Tribolium castaneum: one gene and its partner. The protein of the gene in region 1 interacts with the protein of each later gene in a pairwise test. Links are inferred from orthologs where the notes say so. Each region holds a gene or a part of one and is shown on either strand. Other genes may lie near its edges.

Region 1 (3,057 bases):
ATAAAACCGTTTACGTATGCACGGGCAATGGGTTCTTGGGGTTAACACACCCTCCCATCAGAGTCACCCTTTGTGACGCCCCACAGCCTACCGTATTTTGGATAAAATCAGGGAAATTGCTCTCAAGGATCCTCATCCTTTCGCGTTTGAGATCAGGGATTGCGTGCGTGGACAAGTAACATTTTTTCGATTTGTAGACTAGGACCGGGAGACCTGGGGCAAGGGGGAGGTTGGCGTCCCAGCGGTACACTTCCGGTTTGCCTTCGTACCGGAAGAACACAGCGGTACCAAGATCAGTACCCAAGATAATGATTTTGCCGTCTTTAGACCCACTGTCCGTGATTTTACCCGCTGTGCATCCAGCTCTGAGATAATCAGTCCGGATTGAGAAAACTTTAGGTGATGAGAGGTAGGAGAAGATGATGAAGTTGTTCCCACACCCTTTCTGGATCAGGGCAATGTAGAGAACGTCGCGTTTGCCATTCCCGACCACAGCCTTCGGGAGCACCACCCTGTAGCCCCTGTTTCCAGCAACATCAAACACTAGAATGGATCTAGTCGCCGCGTCGCTGACGTAAGCATAGGGGCGTCCATCGGGGGCGTATTCCACGGCGATGTATTGCAAGCGGGAGGCCTGGGCCACCAATCCCGACAAGTCCAGCGTCTTGACGACCTTTCCGGTTCGCAGAGAGATCGCGACGACTTTAGGGGGACAGCGCCTGATTGGCGTCTCGAGAGTGTTGACCACACCCACGTCCAACACCCAGAGGACCTCATTGGCGTCGGCGAAAATGTCAACGACTGATTGGAGCGCGTTGCAGTTGCCCTCCTCCTGGGTGGACCAGCATGGGAAGGGCGTCAGAGTCGCCTCGCAGCCTTTGTGCTTCAGGGAGAGTTTGGCCAAAGTGGCGGGAACTCCGGGCTTGTAGCGGGGCAGGGCCACGATGACGTCGTCTTTGTAGATCTGGGCGCGGGTCGCAATGGTGTTCTTCTGGATGAAGCGGCCCGAAGAGCGGTAGATGGACTTGGTGGCGCCGTTCGGCCACTCGAAGTTGCCGCCGGTCCATTCGACAGGACGTACGATCTCCTTGTCGCAACTTGCCGAAATGGCGGCGATTAGAGTGCACAAAATGGCGACTTGTCGAAGCATGCTTGATCGATTGATTGATTGGAGCGAATGATGGAGGGCCTTAACTTTTGGCGGCTTTTATCCAACCTGAGGTCAAGCCAGACGTGCCACAGGTGAGGTCGTTGACTCAAACCTGAATCAACAATTTTGCAATCATGGCCGAACTAAACAAACACACCGACATGACCAAAACCAAAACAAACACTCGGGTATAAAGCACGGGAGCCGCTTCAGACGTTATTCACTCATCTTCTCGTCCAACAACAAGTCCAAGTAAGAAATGTGGCAAATTCTGGTGCTTTTGGCGGTTTTTGCCGAGGTCCACTGCGACTGCAACAAGAACCTGATCCCGGACTTGAGCTACAAGCTCAGTGGCACCAACTTGGCGTTCCCATGCGAGGCCACCAAGAACATCTATCTCCAGACCGGACGTTACGTCCCGAAGAACGTGATCGGGACCCGAATGCAGATCTTCAAAGAAGACGCAATTGTGGCCCTTCCTCGGTTCAAGCACGGCGTCCCTTTCACCCTTGCTAAGTTCAACCTGAAGCAGCGTGGGTGCCATGCGACCCTCCAGCCCTTCCCATGCTGGGCCATCCAGGAGGAGGGTAACTGTGACGCCTTGCAGAACGTGGTGGACATCTTCCTGGACCCCCTGGACATCCTCTGGGCTCTGGATTTGGGCATTTGCAACACTTTGGAGCAACCGGTGAGGAGATGCCCTCCCAAGATCGTCGGGATCAACGCTGCCACCGGCCAAGTGATCAAAACCGTGGACCTTTCGCCCTTCATGACCCCACAAAGTCGCTTCCAGTACATGATTGTTGACTACTCCAAGGACGGCAAGGCTTGGGTTTACGCTAGCGATGCTGGTGCTGGCGGTATCCTGGTTTACGATGTTTTCGGCGGGAAGGGCTACAGGGTGGTGTTACCGGCTGCGGCAAGTGCCGGTGGTAACAAAGACGTGCTCTACATTGCCCTCGCCCGGAAATCCTGCGGGAACGTGCTCTACTTCACCTACTTGTCCTCGCCCAGACTTTTCAGTATCAAGGTTTGCTACTTGCAGAGCGGGCAGGCTAATGGGGCGATTGTCGACGTTGGGGCGAAGCCTCCCGGCACCAGGATCGTGCTTTTGGGGACTGATAACGGCGCCGCGATCTTCTTCAGGTACAAGGGAGAGTCGGATATTTACATTTGGAACACGGATACTGCCTTCAAGCCGGAGAATTTCCTCTTGGTGCAAAAGGGTGGGGAATGTCGGTTGTCGACTCAGGTGGTGCCAGGGTATAAGAGGCTTATGTGGGCTATTGAGAGCAATTTCCATGATTATATTTGCAATACTGTGGGCTGTTTGGGGGCGAGCATGGCTGTGCACCCGCTTATCAAAACGTGCGATTGAAGTTGTTGAAAAATTTGCTGTGATTGGTTATTAAATCGTTGAATGATTAAATTGAGTTTTATTTTTACTTTCCGAGCTCGAGGCAACGGAAGTGCGTATGCACGTACGATATTACCGTTGCTGCAAAATCCTTCAATTTCTCCCAAAATTTTCCCAAATTTTTTAGTTCGGATTTGCTTTTGAAATTTTGTTTTATTTTTTTTATTTTTGCTTGATCTCCGTGTTCGGAGTAGTTATTTGCCAATAACACTGAAACGGAATCCAAGTATCCAAGAGTGGCAAGAACAATCGAGTTATAATAATCACTGATGACATGAAAATTAATAAGATTGTTTAAAGTTTTTCGACGTTAATTAAGTTTTGGTAAAGTTTTACTACTTTTAGGTACGCACACAGGGTCATAAAAAATGCCATTCTTTTTATATTTTGTTAATTTTTCAAACATTCGTAAAATGTTATGTTATCCAAAGGTTTGAATAGACATTTTCAAAAAAGTAGATTTGCTTGAAATAGTCTACGTCATTTTTAA
Region 2 (3,816 bases), on another chromosome or scaffold:
TTGGACTCATTCAATAATTTAATGGAGTAATGTGAATGGTTGGTTTAAATCTGAAAGCAGTCAATAAATAAACCTTGTTTTTTAAACTGCCTTTCTTAATGCTTCCTAAGTCAAAGTTTTAGTGAAAAAATTGGCGGCAGCTCATCTCAACTGCGACAAATTATGTTTATTTATAGTTTTTTTATCTAAAAATTTCGTTAAAATTTTTATGTTTTTTCACTTCTACACTTTGAACGCGTTATTATCGAATGCCTAAGGTTCCTCAGGACATACGTACCTACAGGTGTCAATGCCTTGTGTCTAAATAGAGAATTTATTCCTTACTAAAACAGACAGACTGCACATACATATAAGAATAGAGGTATAATGGTCCAAAATTCTTCTCCAGATGCTTTTTTACAATTATTTTTAACGTCTACTAAAAATTAAAAAAATACTTCTAAATTTTCTCCAAATTCTCTTTTAGAGAATTTTACTAACACTTCTTCTAAATTCTTCAAAATAATCTTTTTCGTTGATTCACTTCTTTTTGGATTATGTTAAGTATATTTTGAATATACAATTATACCTACATTCTTTACATTGGTTTATAAAGTCTTCTCTAGATTTTTTTGTGGAAATATTATGTGGACTATAGGTATAGGTTTTATTATTTTATAAACCAAAAAACTGTCGAGAAATCGACGGAAAATGAAAGGTTTTTTTCATTTAATTAACATGTTTTTTTAGGTTTTAGAAATTTTTCGAAAATTCGAAATTTTTTTGGAATTTTTATTCGAGAAAAAAAAGTCGATAAATCAGAAATCCTAATTATAGGTGGATTATAGGTGTTTTTGTAGTAACTTAAAAATCTTAGAGCAGGACATTTGGGTTATAAAAAATAAGACAAATCTGGACACGAACATAAAACAGGGCACAACTGTAAAAACCTAAACCTGTTCTGGCTAAATCATGACGGTCTTAGTCAAAATACCTTATAAAACTAGGATCATATTATACTATATTATTACGATACAAAACGCATATTGTGATGTAGTGATGGCCTACAAAGTAGAAAAAATATTTTTTAAACTATTGTTCTAGATTTTACTCTACTCTTTTTTATACTCAATTCTAGTTATATCTAGAATTTTTATTCTTTAGCAGTGTTTCTGTATACAAAACTTATGATTTCAAAAACAAAGTTGACTAACCTAAGACAGCATTATTTCCTCTCACAGCAGTATTCTGCTTTCATTATAAATTTATCTACAAAATGTTTGGAATAATATTCTTTATAAAGCCTTTACATGATATTAAACCAAGTAACCAAGTTTTTAAATAATTTTAAATGGGTCTAAAAGTTCTTTAATTAATCGTCAAAAAATGGGAAAAATTCACTATGTTGGCAACAACGGACAAGACGAAAGTAACTAGCAAATTTCAAAATTTCGCTGTCATACTTGAGAATGTGAAATGGATTCAGATCAAATTAATAAATATACTTTTTTGACGACATACAGGAAGGATTATGTGAAAAAGCCGATAAAACAGTATTATCCCACCTGTAGTCTTCTCGCTTTTTATAATTTTGTTCAAGTCTACGGGCGGAGGCAAAAAATCAAGAGTTTGAGGACCCCATCAGTGAAGGATTTAAGGAGTTTTTAATTTTGGATAAAACAGATCTAAAACCACCGAACGAAAACGGCGACGAATACTTGGAAAAAGTTCCTTTCAATCTTCCAATTATTTTATTGACAATAACAAAATTCTAGTTCAAACAAAAATACAAAGAGATTGCAAGGATTCACTTTCAAGAACCGTTAGATAAAGATGCCATAAGGAAAAATAAAGTCACAAAAGGGGCCGTTACCGAATACCAGATGAGCTATTGTGACATTGGTGCGAGAAACGCTCACTGAAGACAAAACTGACTGCTTTTTTTAGAAAAAGATACTCAATTCAACTTGGATAAACGCAACAGAAAATTCACTTTGGCAGATGATGCGGAAATACCGTTAACAACTTATGGAATTTATTTCAGAGATCAGACAAAGGCTTTGAGACCTCCGCTCATTATCATACCGTCAAATACTTTACACACGCATGGTAATTTGGTGAAAAAATACAAATTTGTGATGATGGTAACATTCCTCGACTTTAGGAAACCTCGCCTGCAGTCACTACATCAGCGAATACACGGACCACATTGGCACATTTGGCGAATTTATTTTAGAAAAAAGCATCCAAGGACGCAAACCTCCCCCCGAAACCTGATTGTCAAAATTGTGTCAAAATTTCAGTTCAATAAAATTTTTCGTTCAAAATTCGCAATGGTTCTCGATCAATTTCAAACCACATACAGAAAGGACTACATATGGCCTTACGTGCGCGCTTACGGACTAAAGTAACGCAATTTTTCCGTGAAAAAAAATTATTCCATGATTTAGGACAACTCCTGCGTTACCTGAAGCCGGCGACCACCTCACGTGCGAGTGCCACTGTCCAAAAATCGACAAAACTAAACAAGTCGGGCTCGACCAATCCGAAGCCGCATGGAGTCGTCTAGGCCCCATGGGCCCCCTTCTAGACCCCAAAGTGTACCCTGTGAAAGTGGGCGCAAGCCCCGAATCACAAGTCAGTCGCTTCAACCAACCTAACGTCTACTTGCAAAAACTGAAAGACAAGTTCCCCTACATTTACGAGTGTTTGAGGAATGCACCACCTGATGATCTGATCTCGCGTATCAATCGCGATCGGCTAAGGACCACCTACCAAGTCGATTATTGCAAATTACGTAATTATTTTTCCGAGTTTTGGCGCAAAAAATAAGTTATTTTAGAGGAGTATCCTGACGCTCCTTACGACGAGCTGTTGCGAGCGGCTGGAGTGTCTGGAATCGCCCCATGTCCTGCCCCTGTGCGACTTCCTGGCGACCCTTGCAGGCCCAACCAGAGGTCCATCGCCTACCGTCCTGCGGTTATCAGTAACCGGGTTGGGGGCGGTAAGAGCGAAGGCCGGTCAAGAGGCGGGGACGACAACGCCATGAGCTCCTACTGCGGTACTTATTTCGATTGATTTTCCCAAAATAATGAATTTGAATCAGCTGGAAGCTGTCGAGGGCCTCTGGGTTCAATGACAGCCGGCGCGACGGAGTACCAAGACGCCATATCCCGTCTCGGCCAGATGATAATGCGTGACAAAATCCACTTCTCTCTCCCCAAAAAAATAATCTAGCCGTCGTCCAAACAATTTTTATTTGCCCTGCCACTCGGAAAATGGATTTCGTTACGATTTTGACAAGATTGTCACAAAATTTCGTGTGTTATTTATTTGTAAAGTACTTGTTCGGTCTCCTCCGTCCCAAATTGTCGTCTTTTAGCATGCTTGTGTATCAGAAACAATAGTAAGGCCAAGAAACCAAATTTGCAGTGATACGAAATGACCGTGGACAAGGAAACTTTCTTGACCAACTACCGGAAAGACTACAAATGGCCCAGTTTCGTGCCTTCGGTGGCCAAGTAAGTTTGTGACTATTATGCCAGTTGAGTATCTTCAATGAAGAACAAAAGGTCAATTCACTAGCAGTTGTGAATTTGTTCAATATGTTGGGCTTCTCGAAACAGATTTGTGAACCACTTAAGAAAATTGCAACACAATATGTTAAGTAATTTCGTCAATACCTTTGGGAGAATAGAAATACTTGGTATTTCTGATCAATTTGGTCAAATCCAAAAATTTTCAGTTACTTTGATAAAAAATCAGCAGTGAAGTCTCAGTTTACAAACTTTAATGATAAAAATGGTGAAAATCCAATTAGCAAACTAAACAGAGAAA

Evidence for each region. The genes of interacting proteins can lie anywhere in the genome.
Region 2: the proteins of yellow-g (region 1) and uncharacterized protein LOC103312874 interact in a two-hybrid assay, tested with the Drosophila melanogaster proteins (2 studies listed by BioGRID). The link is inferred for Tribolium castaneum from reciprocal best matches to the Drosophila melanogaster genes yellow-g and CG8813.

The regions. Positions count from the first base shown.
Region 1 is NC_087399.1:8,621,094-8,624,150, reverse strand, and holds yellow-g (yellow-g precursor), read left to right. Parts: upstream 1-1,391; 5' UTR 1,392-1,409; coding exon 1,410-2,528; 3' UTR 2,529-2,554; downstream 2,555-3,057.
Region 2 is NC_087402.1:9,800,941-9,804,756, forward strand, and holds uncharacterized protein LOC103312874, read left to right. Parts: upstream 1-1,407; 5' UTR 1,408-1,532; intron 1,533-1,579; 5' UTR 1,580-1,706; intron 1,707-1,754; 5' UTR 1,755-1,881; intron 1,882-1,926; 5' UTR 1,927-2,088; intron 2,089-2,143; 5' UTR 2,144-2,312; coding exon 2,313-2,386; intron 2,387-2,429; coding exon 2,430-2,776; intron 2,777-2,821; coding exon 2,822-3,040; intron 3,041-3,085; coding exon 3,086-3,216; 3' UTR 3,217-3,314; downstream 3,315-3,816. Other genes in the region: uncharacterized protein LOC103312842, read left to right, coding at 3,421-3,500.